2 linked regions of the Oreochromis niloticus genome follow. The protein of the gene in region 1 interacts with the protein of each later gene in a pairwise test. Links are inferred from orthologs where the notes say so. Each region holds a gene or a part of one and is shown on either strand. Other genes may lie near its edges. The genes, in order: rxrgb and mpped2a.

Region 1 (12,365 bases):
CTTTACTCGCCCACTTTCTCCAGCCCTCCACGAGTGATCCCTGGCAGGCAGAAATGGATTGGGGCCTTCCCCTCTCTCCCACAGAGCTGAATGGATTAAAGAAATATACTTCACAGTCCAGGCTGTTACAAAATGCACTACATAGATTGAAATTCTATGTGGCAGTGTTCCCAACTTTCCCGAGTGCTTTTTCATCCAATCAACACTCTTATGTAATAGACGTCCACTGTACAACATGTTCTGTGTCTGATTTTGTGCAATGGCCCCTCTTTTATGTGCATGACAAATTCCCTTTGGGGTTCATAAAGATCCATTCTATTCTAGTACAGGGTGGGAGATATGGCAACAGGGTAGTCCAGCAGCCAATAGTTTGGCAACATGCTCTGAAGACCAACAAGACTAGATGTAAAAGATAACATGAGGAGGAAAATATGGAGAGAAATGAAAAATAAAGCAGGTAGATCGGTGGATAGAGAAGTTGTAACTAGAAAAACCTGAATAGAATTTCTACGCTGCAGTTCTATTTGTGACCTGAAAGTTCAAATTTCCTGCCTTTCTGGAGACAGGGTCCGTTTAAACTCTGAAAAACAACATACATGTTTGACACAACACTAACAACAAATCTTCGCCCAGATCTGAGCGTGTTCGTGGCTGCATTACAGAGGGGAAAAAGAAAAGCACATGGACAGTCAGCTGGTGGGATGCCTAAAAGGGAATTGCTCGAGAGGTGAGCATGCTTTGGGAAGGGCGTGTGCGCGTTTTGTGTCTGTGTGTATGAAGGCCAACATGCTCAGTGGAGGAAGCACAAATGGGCCCTGAGCGGCTCAAAGAAGCCTATCCTTGAATGACCCGCCTCAACCGGCAGTCCAATCTAAGTCACTTCCACAACAAAGACCCTTAAATGCCCAGACTATATCCTACCATAGTCCTGCCATTCATTTCATGGCACAGAAATGTACGTTAGCAGTCTGCAGCATTCACAAATATGTCGTTTAACTTTTCCCTCTCAGTCTTGCTTAAACCTATACAACGCTTCAGCAACTCAAGCATCTATCTGAGAGCAAACAAACAGAGCAGTGAAGGGCACCTTTGAACACTAGTGTCGCAAATCAAAGGTCACTTGTTACCAAACTCCTGAGCCAAGTTCAAAAGAGTTTTCTGTCTGCAGCAGCGCAGGTCTCTACTGATCATTCCCAGAAATTACTGCACTGACGGGGATGCAGGACTCACACAGTAACCTGCTAAAATACAGCTTGATCTGACTTTGTGATGAAAGGCTCCTAAAAATTGACCCAGTATAAATCACAGCTTCTTTTAGCAAGAAATGTAACCCATACAGTTTTACAGCACATCAGCCTATTTTCATTTTAGCTCCCTTTTGATATGCTTATTGTGTTTGAAAGATCTTTGAATGTCGAGTGATTGCACAGTTATCAACAATAACAAACCAATCACGCTACTGTTATATTAAACTTACCTGTACAACCCATGTCCACACACATCAAGATTGACTGTTTTTCCTGTGGTCTTTGGGAAATTGGGATTAGTACTTTTCTCCTCCAAGGCATTTTTATAGACTAACCACTTAACCAGACCAGTGAATACTAACAATAATTCTTAATATGACCTTTACCGAGCTTAACAAGATCACATTATTCTGTTCCCTTGCATGCAAAAAATCCAAACATCATCATCAAATTGCCTCTGCTGTGTCAGATGATCATATTTACTTTGAAAGCCAAAGGAAGGAATACCCAAAGCCACAAATACATCACATTGATCTGATGATCAACAGGTTTAAAGAAACATCACAAACCACAAACCCTCTAAATCCCTTGCAGTTAATTACTGGGTTGTAACTGGATGGAGCGCTGCACTGAGTGGTAATTCAATAAGACCAAACTAATAATATCTCCCGTCTGGAAAGCAGACCAGCACTGGGAGTGCACAGTGAGGGGATGACGGGGTGGGAGCAGCAGACCCACTCCTAAATGACAACATAAACCTCAATATTTATCACATGAACCCCAACAAAAAGGAATCCTCAGCACGTGCATGGATTTGTTCAATACCCGTCTATTCTATATGTGTTTTTATGCAAAATGAGTTCAAGTCTGTAGATGACAGTGCCGTGACCAAATGACATAGAACAGAATGCATCGTAAAGTAATCAGACGGACAGCCTGAGGAGCTCATTAGATTCAGTGAACATGTAATTAAGAAATCTCCGCGCTGGCTGCAAACCATCACACTCACTCCTTGCATGTGCACATACTCGCTCACACTAAAAGAGGGGGGGGAAACCCCCCACAAATTGTCTGCACACACCAGCATAAAAATCACCACCCTTTTAACATTCATTTCTTGACTAAATGAGGTTGATGTCTGATCAATTGTGTCAGTAAATCCTCTTATCCCCGGGTAAGTATGTGCAGCTCAGCAGGCCAGCTGTCAAGAAGGTGGGAGGCCCGGGGAGGAGGGGACTGAGAGCCGAATAGACCCAGGGAGGAAGGAAGGTAGCAACGGATGGCTGGCTGGATGGCTGGATGGCTGGCTGGGGGAGGGCACTGCTCTCCTTCTCTTCCCAGCCCGCATGATTCCACTAACACTACCACCACACACTCCTAATCACCCCGCCTGTGCGAGGACATTAGATCATGAGTTGAGAAAAGCCCCTGTTTATTTTCTGCACAGCTGTGATTTTAGGAGATACAAATGGTTGCTGGTGATAGAAAATGAAGATACAGTCCACTGTTACATAAGCAACACTCTGTCCAAAGCTGCTTCAAGGACACCTGTTCCATTTTCGTACTGCTTTGTCAGCCAAAATTAATAACGCTCATTTTACCAGCAGAACAGATGTTACAGTTGTGTATCATTCCTGTCTTGTTGGAAACATAAAGAAAAGCGTTGGGGAAAAAAAAGTTGTGTCCATAAAGGCTTACGGCTGTGACAACATAAGGGCTTCAGATAGCAAACTTCTCTGACCCCAAATTCTGCCCTGTGAAACCCTCCAGTGAAATCAAATATACTTCTGAACAGAAGAGGAATGAACTCTTCCCCCCATTTCTTTCAGTTTCCCTATAACAAGCATTCATACAAGCAAAGCAAATTGTTTGGAAAGTACATATATTGTTTTCCCACAGGCGGACCACGTTTGTAGTTCTCTTAAATCAAACACAGACCTGCTACTGGGACCTTTTTTTTTTTTTCTTTTTTTTTTAAACACAGGCCCACAGAGAATCGATGAGGAGCCCAGAACTGAGACAGGGACAAGATAAAGACTGTTTTGCAAGTGATAAAAGTTTGGAACTTAAACAACACGAGCTAACACAGAACAGGCTGACCAAGCAGTCCTGGAAAACAAACAAACAGCTGGGCCGAAAGTCCCAATGCAAATCGAGCATCCGCCCTTTTGGCTTTGCCTGCTGAGGTAACTCAAATTAGTTCCTAGAAGTAGTCGTTCACTGTTACAGGGGGCAATGGAGATATAGCCATGTGCTGTTGACATGCACACACGGACACACAGAATACACACAAACCCATTCATGTCATGCTGTGACTGTGGGAGTGCGACCAGGCCGACCTGACCTCTTGAACTGAAGACAGATCCTAGAAAGAGGACGACACTTACACCAGCTTTCTGGATCCTAGAAAGACAGTCGGACTTACACCAGCTTAGCAGCTAGAGTTAACACAGACAGTCTGGTCTTGGGGTACCGTATCACATGAAAAACAATGTGTTCCTTGTGGCCATATACAGAAACATAAACAGACCAATCGGGAAATGAGAAGAAAAATGCTAAATGACAAGAAGCGAGGTAGTGATAGGATTAAGCTTCTAAGCCATAGCCATGTTAACGGCTTTGCTTTAAGTTAACAGCTAAAGTCAGGCAAGCTGCTGGTTATTCGGGCATGATGCTAAGAGGTAGCACATTTAGCACAACAAAATAAAGTTTAAAAAAAAAAAAAAAAACAAGGATTCCCTCCCTCAGAATAACTACACTCTACCCCTTTAACTACAAGCAGCATTTCACGATTTTCCTTTAATCTTCTAAAGATTATTCTTAGCTATGATTTACTCCACGTTGCCAAAGCAACTAAAATGTGAAAATCAAATAACAGAAATATCTTTAAAGTTAGCATGGAATCAAATTTATTTAAACCCAGTGCTTGGTTGCTTTAAAAGTTCCTATAAACTAATCGCTTTTTCAGACAAGGAAAATCAATATGAAACCATATGGTGGCTCCAGTTTAATGCCATATCAATCAATTTGTACTGGACTGTTGAAAAACATGCAAAACTGCCAGCATTTATTAAGCTATAGTCCTGTTGTTTGTTTAAGTTTTATTGAATTGCTCCTGATATTAAATAGGCAACACTGTATTTCATCAACATAGCTGAAGCTCAGCATAATATGGATTTAATCACAGCTTTGTCAAATGTCCTGCGGTGCTTTTAATGAATGACCAGAACAGAAAGAGCCAACCTCCCATCATAAGCATAACCATGAACATAAAACACTTGGACTGCCAGGTTGGAAAGTCTGTATTAGACTATATTACTGTCCTCACACCATACCTCCACCCAGGCCAAGAAAATCCACTGAACAACTTTAGTATTTTCAGGAGAATGTGTTTCTCAAGGACACTCAAAAACACAAGGGTGCTCTAAAATGCACAATTTGCAGATAGAAATATTCTCTAGACAGAGAAGCCACTTAATAGGCCAACTACAGCATGTGTTTAACTGAGCTCACACCAATGCTTTCCACACCTCTTCAGGAAGGACAGAAAGGAAAAAAAAAAGGAAACAAACACATCACAGAGGCTGTTGATGGAAAGGTGACGGGCAGTTAGACACAAATGGAGAAAGAAAGCGGGATGAAGAGGGCTAATAGGAAGGGACAAGTGTTGAGAGATAAAGAGACAGTGAAGGACAAGGCAAAGAGAGCTGGAAGCATCCTTTTAGACTGAGTGACAACCCCGCTGAACTCATCTGAGAATTCAAGTGAGTCACTAGTTCTAGATCCCGATCTCCAACTGGAAAACCTTGTACCTGCCACAACTTGTTAAAATGACCCAGTGATGATAAAAGCGGGAACTGATCTGTTAGCAGCGAATATCCTGGAAGTAGATTTAAAGATGCAGTTGCTTGATTAAATAAATAATTAAATGTTAAGTTATTTTTTACCGAGGAATAGATACAACATGGGTGAGAGAAGAATATATATAATAGGAAAAAAAGAAAAAAAAAAAACTGGTTTAACGATCTGCAGATGCAATTGCCATGAGAGTTGTTGGTTTGTCCCCGGAAGAAAGAAATTCAAAATAACTTCATCAAAGAGTGCACAGGGATTAGAGGCATTACTCAAATGCATCTGTGCACCACTAGCTTTCGTGCTCAAGCTTCACTTCTGTTGAAACCCGCAGACGAGACACGTTGCATCAGAATGATTCCATTTCCAATAACACACACACACACACACACACACACACACTAAAGACAATACCCAGCTACTCACAGTGACCATAACCTATTTCCCTTCCAGGGCTGCCCCCACTTCCAGGTGATGCCACTGGATGCCACATGTCTTCGGGCGCAAATGGTAGCGCTGGAAGAACACGAGTCGCTCAGGACCAGGTGTCACACTCAAAGTGCTGGCTTGGTGGATGCTCAATCGAGCACTTTTCAGAGAAGAACGTGACGGAAGGGTCGGCGTGTAGAGGGAGGGATGGGGGGCCTCCGTGAAGAGCAAAAGAGGCGGAGTCCAACAGCGCCGGTTATAGGATTACCCAGATTATCCTTCCCCAGAGATCAATCCCACAGGAACTGTTTGCTGCCCGACTGCAGCACAAATCAGCTCCTCTACCGCCCACTCAACTCGTGTTTCTCCTCTCTCTTTATCTCCCCCTCTATCTATACAGAAACACCTGTTGTAGTGGTACAACCAGGAGGTCTGGCCGGAGGGGGGCGCGGTTGGGGGAGGTCATGGTGGAAGGGGTCGTTTAAAAGTACAGTACAACCAGACGTTTCCAATTACTTCCTCTAAAAAGGGTTCAGGACTAAAGAGCAAGGGAAGACAGCATGAAGACACTAATACAGTGCAAAGGTCATTATATGTCAGTGACATTTCTTCACTATGTTCCTCTTGTTTTTTTTTTTAAAGCATCCATCACAAATTCTCTTTCTGTTTTGCAGGTTTTATAAATGACGTGTGTTGAGTGGGTGACAAGAAGTGGTCAGAGGTTGAAGTTCTATTTTGTCTCACCAAAAATAACTTAACACCATATCACACTGTGAAATAACTGTGCCAGCATTCACGCTTAAAGGTATTGTTAGCAGCATGTTTAGTCGAGTCGCCTCTGTGAATATGTTTGTGTGTTTAACAAGTGTGATAGCATTCCAGGAAGTCAGGAATTGTCTTTTTAGGTGCTCTAGGATAGCCAGGAAAACACAGGGCAAAGTGAAAATCCAGATGCACACACAGGCCAAAAATATAACTTAAAGGCAGCGAGGAACAATACATGAGAAATCCTGAGGGAAGCTAAATAAACCATGCAGAGATAGATTTGATCTGCAAAAGCAACCCTTGGTGGAGGACTGCATCTACTATAGCAGGCTTTTAAAACAGGTAACCATTTTTTAGACTTAAAAATATGCATGCAAAAAGTAGATGCTCTACTTGTTTAGTAATGACAGAGGCAAGGCAACATGTTATTATCGCCACAAAATAGACCAACCCGTAAATGTTAAAGTGTTCCTTCTAATTTATCCTTCCAGTGTATCGAATGTTCTTCTTCAGATATTCAAACTGAGATATAGCACCAGAAACTTCCATTTCTTGCGTCCATCTATTTTCCTTACACGACTCAACAGAGCTTTCTTGCGCAGACTACCCAGCAAGTGATTGGGTCGACTATACAGTGTTTAAAGGAGAACCACTAGTAACCATATACTCTCAGTGACACTCGTTTGGCTTTGTCCTCCTCCCGTGACTCAGCGGCCTGACACATAAGAGGAGAACATGACGGAAGAGGAGAAATGCTAGCGTCTCTTTAAGAAATCCCAGAGGGAGAAATTAAAATAATGCAATCCTTCTGAAAAGCACGCTGTGTTATATTAGTGTGTCATGGCCCACATAAAATACGTGAAATTAACCCCGAGAGCCATAATTAGCAATCACAGATGTATTATGGTTTGTTAAGGCGCGGGAAGAAGATAATTGGCAGCCCTAAATTTAGGCTACATTTTTAAATCTAAACTTCTAATAATGTAATCAGCGTGCCGTCATCTCAGGAGAAAGGTTTTCCTTATGGCCTGCTCTCCCTGCCGGCAGCGATTTCTGACAACACTGAGGACATAATCATGTGGCATATTCAGCTGGGTAGACATTTATAGGAAAATACAGTGGAAAAGCAGAAAAGAGCAGGGAAATTATGCTACAGTAGTGTGTGCTTCTGCTACATGTTGATGCTCTGTAGAAGTGAGACAGGAGCAGCACACTAAAATGGCACTCTCAAAGCATTAAAAATAACCAAGCGGGGTTTCCAGCATGTTCTTCATGGAGAGGTTTGATGAGATCTAATGTGCTTAGCTGTTACCTGTTGCTGCCATTTGTGCACCCACAGGACAAAAAAGCACCATGAGGAATATTTTGGCTGGTCAGTCAAACTAGCACCTATTGAGTTATGAACTTCCGCTCATTAATCACACTCCTGTAATAGTATAAATGAGTTCCACAGTGCTTAAACTTTCTAAGCATGTGCTTGTTTTGGAACTGACTCCACATACATTAATCTCTCAACATGGGAACACATCAGCTAGTCTGCTGACTTGGCCTGCAAAGCCAACGGCCAATTTTCACAGCTTCCTGTGTGGCGAGGATATCCAAACAGCGGATACTGGAAATCCGGGTCAAACCTTCCTGTTCATTTCACAGGTGATTGTATGCACACAACTGAAGAAAATGTTTAAAAGTTATTGAAATGCAAACAAAGTTGCCTGAACGTGATTGGTGAAAAGAACTTGGGGCTACAAATGTAAACCTAAGAAACTTCCAGCACCTTTGCCTACAGAGTCAGAGTTTACAACTCTCTGCCTAAAAATGGGCCTAGAACTCAAGGTTATGGCTTCTAACTGCCTGTTTTGTGCAAACACCAGTAAATACTTAACTGCAATTATAAATGACAAAGAAAGACAAAACAAAGAAATAATTCACATCATGTAAGTAATAAACTAGGGAACGTTTGGCCTATTTCCAGTGGAAGATTTTAACACACATTTAGCATTTTTAAATTAAATTTAAAAAACTGCACAAATCCACAAATGGATTACTACATTTTCACTATTGAATCCTCAAATATTTTCCTGCGTGACTATTTTCTAATTCTTATTTGATTCCATATCTTTATTACTATTATTCACTGCACTCCAGCCTTTTTAGCAGAGCGGTAAGAGTGAACCACTCTGCATTTCTCAAACAAATAGTAGCACTGCTGGCAAACAGTTTTCTATCAATTAAGTAATCAAGTAATGTTCCCTCTAGGAATAATATTGCAGATGCATTAACAGCTTTAGTTCTGTGTGCGCAGGTGCAGCTTAAAGCTTGCACACACTGAGAAATGCTGTTGCAGGAAATGACAATTTATTGAATATCAGATGGAAAAAGGAGCCAGATGTTAAGATGCCTTCCAAGCAGTGAACAAATTAAAAACTCAAATTAGATAGGTTGTTGAAATCAGAAATAGCTCAATACATCTCATAACTAAACATTGCTTTAGCACGTGAGCCTTTGAAGGTTCTCTGCTTGATTAAAGCTGGAATTAAATCAAGGCTTTGACCTTCTTCACTAATGACTAATTACTGGCAATTAGCCCAGAGAATGGCCTCTTTTCGCCCCCTCTTTTCCCTCATCCTGCTCTCACAATTGGCACCCACTCAAACACACAATCAAGGCAAGCTGACTATTTTACGCGGAAACACAAATACGCACACGATCACTTAAAAAGTGCCTCAAAATAAACCTTTTGTAGGTATTGTGTGCTAATGAATGCGTGAACACAGAGGTACTGCATGTCTCAAGCTATGGGATCCTTGAGCAAATACCTGCAAAGAGCCACACCTTCTCTACCTGTGTGGTGTATTTAATTCTGCAGCAGTGGGAGGGGAGGAGGTTTTATTACTGCGGGGACTTGACAGTCAAAAGGTAAAACTTGCATTCTTTAAGTCACGTGCCATCACGGTCACAGTCTGTTGTACAGGAGTTACTCATACAAGCTACTGCGCAGCTGTGAAGAATAGGCATGGGTGTGTGAATGTGTGTGGGTGTCCTCCTGCTTCTGTCTGTGCGTGCACTGGGAGGTCAACCGTTGATCCCTAGGAAGTGATGAGTTTTCAAACCACCCCCTCACCCCCATCCATCCCCCACCCGGGTTTCAATCCAGTTCTTCTTTCTGTCATGACCTCCCTGTTGTGTGAGCCAAATAAGTTCTCACCGTCAAATGTACCAAAATAAGCGCTCATCAGCTTGTCTAGAATCACTTCCACTGACGGAAAATAAAAAATGCTGAAGTGCTGAGAGAGAAAAAAAATGCTGATTCTACTCCAAGCTCCGAGCAGGCCTGCATCAAACCTGCTGAAACATAACAAGTCTGGGAAAAGCCGAAGAGGAGGAAGAGGTGGATCATGAAGCAATCTGCACATAATCACCAGACTGGTTTTTTTTTTGACTCCACACTTCTTTGCCTCAGCTTCACGCTCCTAACAGATTACAAAGGGTGACCATTTTCAAGTCAGAATACGAGTACTGTTTATGGCCCTGTTTTCATACGTGCTTTGGTGCATCCTAAATCATAGCTGTGAGCCAACACAGACAAAACAAGATTTGGAATGACTTTCAGTGGTTGTGGCTTTCATTTAGCTCTGTGGCTTTACTACCAACATTCAAAAGCGAATGCACTAGAGGAGGATTCAGCTAATCCTGGTTTATGAGAACTACTTTAAGATTTATTCATAATTCATTTTTTCATACCAAAAATTATGACTATTTTGCGTTTAAGACAGACTTTTAGCCTTTGCGGGTAGTGAGTAATGCTGCAGCAGCATTACTGTGGAGAGCAGACTCTGTTTAAACCAAGACCAATGCAATTTTTGGAAAAAAAAAAACAGTGTTTAAATCGCATACTGGAACTTTAATGCAGAAACACGATTGGCTAATATCTATTAATATCTAAATCTTAGGATGCCACTATTGCCCAATCATAACAGATCTTTAAAGAGAAAGAAGAAAGAGTGTAGCCCTGAGGGACTGCTCCATTACTTCTGTACACTGTGGGTTTCTCTCAACACACTCTCCTATCCAGATGTCATGTCATTCCCCTGGGAGCCACATTCATTATGGAAACAATACTCAGCCCCTCCAAATGGTGCAAAGATATCTGTGATAGCATAAACAGGCGGTACAGTTTTGCCTTCAAAGACATAGCCTGCAATTAGATTTTATTTTCCCCACACAAGACAGGTAAAACCACTTTTTTAGGTTTTACAATCACTGTGCTAAGAATACATGACAGGATAAGTGTGTGTGACTTCATGAGACTATATGCTATACGCGCAAGCCTATTAGACCACGTTTGGTTTCAACTAAACACTTAAATGGCACAGGATACTTCTGTAAGTAGTGTGTCCCACGTGTTGCTCCAAGACGTCCCATTTCCTTGTCTCAGATGATTTTAAGCGGCCACAAGAAGGATAACAGAACAAATCCAGTCCACTGGTTCAAGGGCAAAGTCACCGAGTCAGACCAGACTTCAGCTTTACTGAGCAAAATCACATCACGCTGTCATTCAGTTGAATATGGCCACGGCGGTGACCAGGGCGCGTCTAGCACGCTGCACTCCTTTCTACCACAAAGAGGGAGCCTATAAGTTTGTTTATCAGTGGAAATCCGCCATTCCTCTGCGCAGTTGAAGGCTTTTCCCCTCTCTGGATCTGACGACCTACCCAGACCAATAAATTGTGTTTCTGTCTCAAACTGTTTAGCAAGAGACGCGCGACAAGCACCATAAATTACATAAGCGCAATTAAAGTGCCAACCTCTGACCTTGCCCGACCGGCACAGCCATGATCACCTGACTTTTGCAGTGACCGCATCTTTCGTTTCAATTCGCGCTGTTCTAAAGCGATTATTTAAGAGCAAGCGTAACAACAGGATCCACACACAGCAGTTGGTGGTTAAAGTCCGAGAACACTTTCGCGCACCGCTTGCAGACTGGAGAGAGAAGACGCCATAAAACAAACGCGCTCGCCGCTGAAGTCACAACAAAATGCAGCGGCTTCGCGGGGAGCACCGCAGCAAGATCGGACCCGGGCTAAATAACTCAAGAGTACTCACTGAGGTGTAGATATGGATCATTGCTGTCCATACTGCGCGAGTTGTTGCGTCGATTTCCTACAGTCGGTGCTGCTCCGCATCCCAGCACATTCCTCTCCCAGCCCGACTGAACTCTCTCTGCAAGGCGGCTCTACACAGGGGCCCAGCGAGGGAGGGGGCGGCAAAAACAGGGCTTCTCCCAATGACAACAGTGGTCGATATCAAGCTCCAACACGATCATGACGAAACATCTCTCCTGCAGCGACACTGTGTTGCAATATTTTCACAGTAAAATTTTACTTTGGCGACAGAAAGAAAGAAATAAGGTGTTTTACAGCCTACACGTTGTCTTCTTCCTATTTATAGGCAGCGTAATCAGATCAATCTTTAATAGGCCAATGAAAATAAATCTGGTCCGTCTAGGAAGGGAATGCAAGCTGGATTTTATTGATGACAGGCGATATGTTTGCGCATGACAACCAGTTTAAATACAATAAAATAACGTTATCCTTATATTTTAAAATAATTACTCCACTGACTTTAGAGTTTGTAGGTATGTACTTACCTGACACAGATTCTTTACCTTCTTCTCATATAGTCTGCAATTTAAAAAAATTAGCTACATTATTTGCAGCCTACACACAACTCCAAAAACAAACACCTGCTTCCCAGCTCTCAAATTATCCGGCTTAATCTGTATTTGGTAGGCTATTAACTCCAATTAAATATCTCATTTGGCTTTGCTTAAAGCCTATTAAATCTGTGACTACAGCCTATGACAATTCCAAATGCAAAACACTCTTTTTAATCTCCTGCCGTCTTCCTGTGAAGGGATCTCTCCAGTGTTTACCTAATTGTTAGTGTGAGTCCTGGCCTGGGTACCCCCCCGGAGCCCCCCCACACACACCCCTGTTCACAGTGCGGGGTCATGTAGGGGTGAAGCTCCCGGTACCTCAGAAGGTTATTTAGGAGTCAAGCCGCACTGAGGCA
Region 2 (11,496 bases), on another chromosome or scaffold:
GACAAACTGTTTGACTTAAAGCCCACTTGGGTGCCATGTGTGCGGAGTGATGAAATTTGTATTCCCTGGTTGTGAGTGGTTTCTGGAGGGTGCTGGCCGTTGTTAATGTAGGTGAAAGAGGGAGCTGTGCTGAAAACCTCCCTGTTTTTTGCCACAGTTGCTGCACTTTGCATGGAAGACGCCAACTGGTCTGCAAACACTCACTATCTACTCATGAGCGGTAGTAAAACTTGAGGAAGTATGATGCACACCCAAAGCATCACATTCAAAGTAAAACTTATACCTAATTGCAGCTAGCATGTGTCAAAATGTGCAGCTTATACAGTCTGTTTCTGTTTGATGTTGCACTTCTCACAGATTCACGGCCTCTTGGAGAGTAGTTGGCAGCTATTTGCAGACAAGTGGACATCTCCCATAAAAACTATGGGCAGCCGTGGCTTGTGGTTTGCATGGAAGATGTCGAAGGAGGTTTTCACAGCAAAATGCAGAAAGGTACTCTCAGATATTAGAATTGTCCAAAAATTTTTCTTGCCTCCTAGCTGCACACCAACAGTCAACAAGAAGAACCATTTCAACTCAACAACATGTACCTCTTTGCCAACAATTTTAACCCAAACCTGGTATGGCAATAGAAGAAGCTGAAACTAGAAGCAAAGAAAAGAAATGTGAGCGTCTGGGTTTTTTTCTCCAGAAAGTTTCATTTTTTTAAGTTGATGCATCATTGAAATGAAGGCAGGTGGAACACTGGAGTCTGCAACTCAGCTGTGCCCTCTGCATCAAGAGGTTAGCAAAGCTGAGAGGTGCAAAGCCAGCTGAAACAAAGCATGGTATGCTTCCGGGGATAATTTTAACATTGTTTAAATGTGCATATTTCCTTTAATCTTATGTTCACAGACTGGTATCATCCTCCTCTCTCTGCTTCTCTCTCTCCCTCTCTCTGCTGTTTTTGAGTTCATTGGCTTTCATCTGCAGCCTCTGCCCTCTTTCTGTCGCTCTGTTTTCTGGGTGAGTCTCTGTGTTTGGAAGTTCAGCCCTCTCTGTCTGACCAGCTGACCTGCTGACATGCTTTTATCCCGTTGTTATTTGCTCCTTTCCCTCTCACTCGCCTGATCCTTAGAAGCAAGTGTAATGGCGAACCTTTGCACCCACAAATACACACAAGCACACAGAGAAGTGCTGTGTTTTCAACCCTTTTACATACAGCAGACAGAACACCGAAAACAGCATTTCAATATTAGCATTTTATTGTACAACAAGAGCAACAACAAGCTAAAAGTCTAACCCCTTCCTGCCATTTATCCGCCCAACAAGAGGCTTAAAGTGAATTTCAAAAGAAGGAAGGATAAGTGGCTCTCATGCCAAATGACTGCTGAAAGACATAATAAATATTACTGGAATTTTTTTTAAATCAGTTTGTTCAGGCCATTGAATATGTAATGCACTGTGTAGTTTCCACAATACTAAGTGCGCCACATGCTTATACCACACACTGGAATACATCATGTGGACTACACATGCAGGCTTTGACTCATAAAACTGTGCATGGAGTTCTTGGAAAATGCAGTCAGAGGACGGAAAGAAAGTTATCACCGTGATAGAATAAATAGTGGATTAATTGTGAATGTGCCTGCTCAGGTCATCACCTGAGGAGAACAGGAGCCACTTCAGCAGAGCAGCTGAGGACTGAGTGCAACCCAGTGTTGTCCTCCTCTGAACTTCATCCAGTCAATTAACGTAATTTAATACACCCTCACTCCACGTGGATCACAGCGTGCCTCAGAGTTCTCCTAATTTATACGGTATTGACCGTTTTCACACACGTGGGGAGAGATGGAGAGATGGAGAGATGGAGCGGAGGCACACTGATTGTGTTGAATGGTTGCGAGTAAAGCTGGATCTCAGGGGTGGTGGGGTGGGAAATGAAGTGATTGTTTTATTTTTACAGTTTACCACTGCTAAAGTTGAAAGAGGCTTGGGAAGAAAGAGACGGAGAGGAGGCAAAAAGAGAGAGACTGACTCACAAAGTCCTCTCGAGTGAGCCTTCGTCTAGCCTTTGGCACAGAAAGTGAGCCTGCATATTACTCAGTCTATCACAACACAGCAGGAGAATGGGAGGGGAATTAATACACTTGGCTTTCGTGCCAGTATGCTCTCTCTTTGCCTTTCTTCTGTCCTACACTTCTGTTCTTCGCTTTCTGTTCAAGCTCCACTGGACAAAAGCACTTTATGTGCTAATAAAATTAGCTGGTATGTAGATTTCAGTTCCTCTCCCCCACTTTTTTTTATCAGTCCTATAACACCAGGCTGAGGAAAAGTGAGAAAAAGAAAACTCCTTGAATCTTGAGATAGTATTCATTTTTGTGTGTTCATTTCTAAACACAAGGCTGGTGCCAGAAGAGTGCTGCTGCTGCTGTGGCTCAGGGGCAAACATTTTTTTTGTCTGTGTGCATTTCAATGACATAAACAGTATCTAGCCTGCCATACCCTCAGCAACCATCTATCTGCCTCCCATAAATCTGAATGACATTAACATTTGAAAAACCCCAACTCCTGCCTATGTGCGGATGGGCCTCTCAGACAGACAGGCCTTTCGTTTTATTTAGGCGGGCAGTGAAGACAGACAGTGCCACAGACGGGCATAAATCTGTGCAGGTTAGAGCCGGTGAACCGCCGCAGCCGGCAGGTTAAGTGAATATCACCCTGTGCCTCCCGCAAGAAGCTCACTCTCCTATTTCCCTCTCCCATTAAATATATGTTCCTTTTTTTTTTTTTTTGCCTTATTTGGATGGAAAGTCATTTTACCCTCTTTTATAGAAGGTCATAAAATATATAGTGTGGGGGTTTTTTAGCACTCTGCATAACATTTACATTTTCTATTGTATAAATGTGATCGGCGCGGCACGGGGCTGAATAAAACATTCACAGCAAAAGCCATTTCTTTCTCTGACATTTGGTCCCGTATCTATCATCAGTTTTCTATATGCAGTCAGGAGAACAAACGCTGGTCAAATGTTTAAATGTGGCCTCTCCACATAAAATTTAAACCCTGCTTTCACATTAACACCCCCCGGCTAGTAGATGGAAATGCTTTTTTTTCTCTTTTTTTGCGCAGATAAGAGAAAAGTCAAATGGAAATGACTTGCAGGGCTGTTGTGGCAGTGGGGGGACGCGCTGATGGTCCTGGGAAATTGAAGCATGTCAGTAAAATTAGAAAAAAGCCAGCCCTGCCTCAACTGGCAGACATGTAAATGTGGTGGAGCCTCTCAGATGGGCCCATTATGGATAGTCCCACACAGCCTTTTCTCATCAAAAATCCCATCAGTATATTAAAAGGTATAGCCTTGGCACTGACAAATTAATGCTTTATTATCATTATTATTATTATTATTTTAATTCTTGAATGCTTTAAATTGCTGTTGAACTCAGTGATGGACAGCAATTGCAAAATAATAATTTCCCTTCATTTTGCTTTGCTCTACCTTACGTATAATGATTTTCACCTCAAGATCCTCTGTGGTCACTGAGGTGAGTTGGGGACTGATTCAAAGCTTCAGAGAAGGCTGCAAACATGGAGGTCAACCATAATATTTCAAAGAAAGGCTTTATGGGATCAAAGAATAAGCTAAAATAATCAGTGAAGGAAAGAGGTGGCAGCATTTAAATTATCATCAATTATTTAAAGTTTGTCTGTAGGCAGTTTAACTCATGACCCACAACACAGACTCTAGTCTAATAAAGACCAAAGAAAAAATATATAGTGATTTATTGTTTCATCTTTTTAATGTTGCCTAAAGCTGAGACTTTTAATAGCCTTCAATTTGCTATGAAAATGTTCACTTTATCCTGAATACTCTCTTCTGCAGTTTTCTTACAGGCTGTGCAGGTAACTTTTCTGAGTAGATTGCATAGTTTGCTGCAAGAGGTTTCCCTTCACAGACACATGATAACTCTGCACTAACGGTAGTTTAATGAGTATAGCTGAATGACTATGAGTAACACCGAAGGTCTACAATAACAGCGAATTAAGTCAAGGTGAACGGCCAGAAAACGAGACGTGAACAGAACGTGAACGTCGCGTGGCAGCAGCACCCTTACAAACAACAACTTTAACAATATAATTCAAGACTCTGGGTTTTCTTTTTCATTCTGTGCATATGTGGTGCACATGTGGTGCCAAGCTGTGAATATCCTGTAGATGTGATGCATCATTAACTATGATGGAACTAGTTGGGCGCCTCCATTTTTCAGAAGTGGACAATAACTTACAGCTGGCATGTTTACATTATTTGAAATGAGATTGATTGCAAGACAGAAAATGATTAATGCAGTTATCAGTTCACACTGAGTTACCAGTCAAAGCTACAGTCAAACTCAACAGCACAAACCCTTCGTTCGTAAAGCTCTGTGCTGCTGCGCCCTGGAGACTGGGCCTCACCTGGAGAAGAAACTTGTACTAAGGATTGCAAATGAACAATGAACACTTAGCAAACAGTGTAAAAACACAGCATGCCATTCATTGTGCTTGAAAAATAAAAATAGACCTGTACCATAAGATTTTAGAATTGTAAAAAATCTGTTCTTGCCTTATCTACTGTATTTCCATTTATCTTTGCATGTTTGTGGAAATTGCTGCATCTATTTCCCATTCGCCTGGCAAAAATATAAAAAATGAGAGGTGGCTGAAGACTTTTGCACAGTATTATATGTTAGTTATATGATACAAGAGTATGGTTTGAATAATTGTGTTAATTCCCATTGAGCCAAACCTGATTTTTTTTTTAAGATGGCAGGTACCCTACTTTGCTCAGGTGATGACAATAGAGCCTGTACCATGCACTGAAAAAGAGTATAATTCAAAGCTGGCACCCAGAAGTTGAGATTAGATTATTTCTCTACACAAATGCGGTATCTGATGCTTTCTACTTTGAATACTGAAAGTGTGACATTGGTTTCATGTGGAAATACATTTTAAACAAACAGATCATAGTAAAGGCTGCACACCGTGAGAGAGAAACACAAAAAATTCAAGATCAACCAAAACATTATGTGTTTGAAGAAAATCAAGACGAGCCTTTTTCCTACACTTCACTTATACTTCAGAGAAGTGATAGTCGGTGAGTTAAACGCTGGTGATCAGGAAGCTGCTTTTACAACCAGTCAGCCAAGTTTCAGGATTTTCCCAGTTGGAAACTGTGCTGCCCCATTTCAGGTTGTGTGATGGACTCCCACAGGTACTCATTAGTATTGTTTACTTGTGTACCCAAAGGGGCCATGCTGTCTTCTAATCATAGATTTTACAACACCTTCTACACTCTGGCACCATTTCCCACACATCTGTGATCTTATGAAAAAAAATATTCCAGGTCAACATTTCCACTCATCTATGTTTCAGTGTGAGAATGTGCATGTTAGCTGATGCTCAAATACATGGAAAGAGTGAGGCATACAGGTATCCAAGTTTACCCATAAAAGATAAAAGTGCATTCCTATCAGTACTTTCCTGTCTGTCACTGCCAAGACGATCAGTTAGCTTCAGTATATATGCTTGTTACAAACAAGTTCAAGGTACAGCTACCAATGTATTGATTACTGCATATTTCAAGGAATAAAATCAACAACCTTCTTGTTAGACCATGGCGTAAAGCCTGACATCCTAAAGCAAACCTGCCAGTCCATAGCTTTCTTCATGACCAACTGAAGACACAGAGGGAGAACAGTAAATTTAGGAACCTGGATTGATGCTTCTTAGTATTTCAAGGTTTAGGTTTTCATGTTATGAAATATTCCTGAGATGAGCATTTGTCATGTTGTTACTCTGTAACTAAAGGCTGTTGGGAATTTGCCAAGTCTATTGTTAATGTTCTCAAAAGACACTGAATGGACTATTATAGATATTTGGATTTGTCCTCTAGATAAAAAGGACAAGGCATGATAATAGCGGAAGCTATATGTTAAAACAAATACTTTGATGTATCTTAATAAGCATGCATTCTATGACTTATCAATCATTAATTAAGCCATTAGGTATGACTTACAGACTCTATGTAATGTTCTTTAAGAAACAAAAAAAAGTTCTGTTTAATAATTTAGAATTTAGCTTTTTTCCAGGCAACAATCTTCTGTGCCACAAAAATGCATTAATTTAGATTTTAAATATTAATACTATCAGTCAATACTTGGAAACCTATATTTATTAAAAGCTAACTCACTTGACATCTCTTTATAAATAACGTATTTGCTACTACTTGTAATCCCCTTTAGTAAAAGATCACATCATTAGTAAGTTGTAGTACTAATTTATTGCATTTATACCACACGTACTCGTTTTCTTCCCCACAGACATGTATTTCCAGCATCTTAGTGTCGCCACATAAATGACTAATCCATCTCCAATAAATCAACTGAGCATTATAACATATCACATGTTTGCAGTCTAGGCTCTATATACTTACATATTTTGTAAATTAGCTGGCAGTTTAGAAACATGGGCTTAAAATAATAATGTATGTAAATATGCATTTTGGTTTAATAAAGTATTATATATTCCAAAGCAACGTTGTTGTTACCACACACAAAAAATACTCATCCTGGCTAATCATCGTTACTCATTTCATTCATTTGACAAGACTTGCCATTTCCGAAAGTAAGTGAATGCAGCATAGAGCAGGACTGCGGGAGCACCCTCCTCCTTCCCCGCCCTCCCCTCCACTTCTCCTGCCTCTTGCGTGTGCCCGCCGGTAAGGGCACGCGCACGGGAGGTGGCGGGGGGTTGTGCTTGCTCCTGCTCTCTGACCCCAGTGGCAGCTTCGACTCACTGCACTCCGGCTCCCCCTCCGTCAGACCGAAGCTGTTCTCGCGCTCTCTCTCTCTCTCCCCTTCTTGTCTGTCAGTGTCTCTCGTCCTTCTCTCCGGCTTTTACCCCCTCCGCTCTCTTCTTGTCTGGTTTCTTTCCACAGGAGCCAGCAGAGGTCCCGCCGGGTCGAAGGTTCTGCCCTATCCGCCTAGCCTGCCGCAACCCCCGGACGGTCGCGTACGAACCTGCCCGCTCTACTGCTGCTGCTGCCGCATGGACCCGCGTCCCTCCGCCGCCGCCTCCTCTGCCGCCGCTGCGTAGAGGGCGACCCCGACCCGACACTCTTTTCTCCGGCCACAAAAAACACGCACAAAAAACCCCCACACGACGAAGGTAGAACAACCTTTCCGCTTTTCTTTGAGAACCGAAAAGGGAAGGGAATTAGGGGGGAAAGAGAGGAGACTGGGAGGGAAAAAAGAAACACAAAGCTGTCGGTTATAAGGTGGCTTGTCATTTACGAGGAAGAGCCAGAGGTTAGCGCGACGGTGTTGTGACACTGACCACCTTTGGGTGCTTTTAGTATCTCAGAAGCAGAGTTCAGGATTGCATGGACCTTTCTTTTTGTGTACGTTCCTGCAAGCGGCGGTGTTAATAGCGAGCGGCGCATAGCACACATCGTTGTGTGTGCGTCTTATCAGAAAGGGTCAATTTATTCGCCTTCAACCCCTCCTCTGCTTACCGGAGTGATTTCTATTCGTGAAGTTAGCTATATGCTGGCGTACGAGCGCGCTACATATCCGAGGACTGCACCGGCCATGTGTGCGTGCACCGGCCATGTGTGCGCGCACCGCCGTTACAGAAAAGCAGCTCAACGCGAAGCTACAGTGTGCATAATAATAATAAAAAAATCTATTGCCAGGGCAGGTTTAGCAGGCTAAGCTAGAGTGCTAGTTGCTACTACTGTAGCCATAAGGTAGAGACAGACAGACAGGCGAGCTTTGGCAGCCCGACACACACACAGAAACACACACAAAATCAGAAGACTGTGGAGCATGCTGCACACAGATTTTCGGCCTACATTTGCCCAGAAAAAGCAAATTTTCCGAGTAACTGCAGCGGTAGCACTAGATTCAGATTTTGCACTGATTGCAGAGGAGGTGAAGTGCAGGACATCCGACAGGGCAGTTTTGTACTGAAGTGAATTTTCTTTTTTTCTTTTAATTTAAGGCCCAGGAAGATCAATACACTTGTTTCATGTGTAACAAGGATTTTAATGGGACTCTCTTTTTTTCCACACTTTGAAATGTAAAGAGTTGAGTGTGCAGTGGAACTGCTTAGACTTTGCTCATGCATTTTTAATTTTTATTTATTTATTTTATTTTTAAAGTCTAGTTTAACCACCTTTTTCTCGGCTGGCATATATCTTTTTGACTTAAATTTATAGCGTGCATAATAGGAAGCAGGGTGCAGCCGACCCAGAAAACATAAATCAATGCTTTAGTGAAAATAGGACATTTTCTTTAAAAAAAAAAAAAAAGTTTAAATTGGGGTCTTGTTTATCCAGCAGCTGCTTTTTTTGTTTTTATCTCACTTCTCCATCCAAGGATTTAACCATCATGTGAACTCTGGAGCTTTGTTGATTTCCCTCCAAAAGATATGACAGACTTGTTAAATTGAGGGCATTTTTTTCTCCCTCTTTCTTTTCTTTTCTTCTCTTGCTCATGGCTGGATCAGGAGGTCTGGTATAAAACGGCTGTCAAAGCCCACAGTGGCCACTTTACTATCAGTTAGGGAGGTCAGACAGGAGGGAGGCTCAGGGTGCAAGGAGACTCACAGCGGATCCGGTGAGTGAGCTCCAGGGATGCATTATAGCAGCATTTTCTTTTTTAAGTCTTTGTTGTACAGTGGAGCAGAGATGCCATAGCATCTCATTAATTGCTAGTAGATCCTTTCTAAATTGAAGCATGGATATGTTTTTGTGCTTGGCTTACAGTCAGTGGGGAAGGAGACCTCTTTGATGCATGCATTGTGAAGAATTTCTCATTTTATAGAAGCAATTGCAGCAATTCCTCACCAGCAGAGATTCTGCCTGCAGCCTTTCTTTTTGTTTTTTTGTTTTTTAAATATGCTTGTAGTAATTGAAATTTTTTATTTAAATTTAATTTTTTACATTTAAATATGTTTTCATTGAAGCTAATAAAGTGCTTTCCAGAGTGGAAATTGTTGCTTAAAAAGTCAGAGAAGAGTTTTTTGTAAACTTTACTCTTAAGAAATTCCCTTGCTGCTTTTAAAGGTAGAGTACATCTGCTAATTGTGTTTAAATTGCCTCATTGTATTTTTCTATTGAGGCTTTTATGAGGATGTGTTTGATGAGATGTTTGATGATTTTTTTTTTTCTAGCAAATTTCAGGTGGTTTCTGTTCTCTGAAGCTGAATAAGACTGTACATGCCGTCACTGCATGCATGCATGCTTTGTCTTTAGTCTTTGCATTTGGGTAGAGCTTCACTTTAAAATGTATAAGTCTAACCTGCAATATTTATTTATTTTCTTATGCGAAGCCCTTGCTCGTGAGTGTATTCAGAAGAAAGTGCACGCCTTTTTAAAGCAGCTGGTGTGTGTGTGTGTGTGTGTGTGTGTGTGTGTGTCTGTCTCTCCTGTCGGTGCAGTGTGTCGTGGTCGAGTCAGTCGGCCGGGTTGCTGCTCCTGCTGCTCCTGCTGCTGCAGGGAGGCTTCCTGGGCTTCTGGAGAGCGGCTCTGAAGGATGACTGCCGCACGGCTCGCTGCTGAATCTCGGTGAACGAACAGCGTCTCATGTCCAAACTGTGGAAGGATGGCTCATGGCAAAGTGACCATCACTGTGGACGAGTACAGCTCCAACCCCACACAGGCCTTCACGCACTACAACATCAACCAGAGCCGCTTCCAGCCCCCACACGTCCACATGTAAGTTCACGGACACACACATACACAGTTGTTATGAGCTGGCAAAGTTAAATTAGAAAGAAATATTTTCTCTCTCTCCAAATGAATTTTATTTGTGATCTTTATTCCAAACTGAGCTGGTCACAAGGAACATTTAAATGACACATTGCAGCAGTGTCATTTATAAACCTGCACTTTCGGTGACATTTTAAACTAATTTCAGAATCATGCATACGCTTTAAGAACAATACAGGAAGCCAGCAGGTTTAATGCAGTCTCTGTTTACACTCCTGATATCACTGGCCCTTGCTCACTGAGTGTACGGTGGTGCGTGATTTAACGCAGTACAAACCATTCTTTTTGAATAAAAGTTTTAGTGGCGGTGAAGCCCTGAACAAAAGTGCAGCATCTGAAGACTAACACTAATTCTGTGCATCACACATACTTGTGCTGGTTTTTCTAACTTGTCGTGTTGTTTTATTTATTTATTTTTTTAATCTTTCTTGCGTGTGCTGTTGGTGCGTACTGTTCACCGGCGTGTGCTGCGGTCTCGCTGTGAGATGGTTATCATTTGTGCCATGTTGTCATTGCGGTATGTGGACGCTTTGTCTGCATTAAGGCGCTCTCCTTAGTTATTTATCAGACCAGTTACTTAGTGTTGCTCTTGTCTGATGTGGTTATGCTGTTCCTCTCATTAGTGGGTCAGAGCACTGTGACCCATCAACCCTCGACACACACCCTCACACACAAACACACTTTACAACACTGTGTTTTAGCTGTGACCAGATATTAACAGAGCTGCAGCTCACTTTGTGTCTTCTTCCAATTAGAGCAGTTGTGAGCTTTTTCCAAAAGGCTGGTGACTGCTGGTTTTGTGTACACTGCGTGCTCGTGACATTTATTCTCTGTGTATGTTGTGAAGTTAACCTGCAGCAGGGCCAGGAAGAGATTGAAGAGCCTGTTAGTAGTTTCCATCATCACTGTAATGGAGTTGTTTGTCATTTCTTTCTTTTTTCCCTTTTCTTTTTCATTTTTTTGCCTTTATGTGTGCATTTATTTATGGGGAAAAGCACAGCCCATCATTTTTTTTTCTTTTTTTTTTACATCATGAACGGAACACACAGGGATAAATGCAATTTATGGCTGCAATAAACATTGTAAAGCAATGCCGATGGTGACGCTGCTTTGAATTTTTGAAAGTCAAAACACCAAAATGCACAATATGTGAGAAAATCCAGCCCACGCCAAAACACAGAGCGCTAACCAAAGCATTCTAATCTTTGTTGTAGACAGCTTTCACAGTGAGGTCTGTACAAATGTGCCGTTCCCAAGTCCTCACATATAATTACATTGTTGGGGGTAAAATCACAGCAAAGCTCAAGGCTTTTTTTTTCCCCTCACAATTTTCCTTGTTAGCGCAGAAAATGGTAATCATAAAATTGTCAGTTTAGGCAATGTTATGGTAAAAAAAACAAAAAAAAACAACAACATATGATTGACTTGTGAGAATCCTTTCATTGCAGCACCTTCAAAATCACATCTTAGAGATCGCTAAGACGCTGTTCCAGAGAGCTGCAGAGCCACGATTAAAGATTTGTGCGCACATGTTCGATCTTGTTGCGCAGCTACAGCATTCTCAGATCACACTGAAATTAAAGGTGAAGCTGAAAAATCGGCAAATCAGCGTATTAAGTGGAGTAACCACGTCGCCTTAGCGTGTATGAAGCCAAATAAGAGGCCGGGAGAAGTCTTTGCTTTGGGCTGCAGATGCGGTGGTGGC

The links.
Region 2: the proteins of rxrgb (region 1) and mpped2a interact in binary tests that used the Homo sapiens proteins (3 or more experiments, as listed by UniProt). The two-hybrid records come from large-scale screens. The link is inferred for Oreochromis niloticus from reciprocal best matches to the Homo sapiens genes RXRG and MPPED2.

What each region holds. Positions count from the first base shown.
Region 1 is NC_031986.2:42,885,788-42,898,152, forward strand, and holds the start of rxrgb (retinoic acid receptor RXR-gamma-B), read right to left. Parts: upstream 5,670-12,365; 5' UTR 5,593-5,669; coding exon 5,526-5,592; intron 1-5,525. UniProt on the Homo sapiens protein: Receptor for retinoic acid. Retinoic acid receptors bind as heterodimers to their target response elements in response to their ligands, all-trans or 9-cis retinoic acid, and regulate gene expression in various biological processes.
Region 2 is NC_031965.2:7,296,522-7,308,017, forward strand, and holds the start of mpped2a (metallophosphoesterase MPPED2a), read left to right. Parts: upstream 1-6,647; 5' UTR 6,648-7,186; intron 7,187-8,527; 5' UTR 8,528-8,637; intron 8,638-9,460; 5' UTR 9,461-9,624; coding exon 9,625-9,737; intron 9,738-11,496. UniProt on the Homo sapiens protein: Displays low metallophosphoesterase activity (in vitro). May play a role in the development of the nervous system.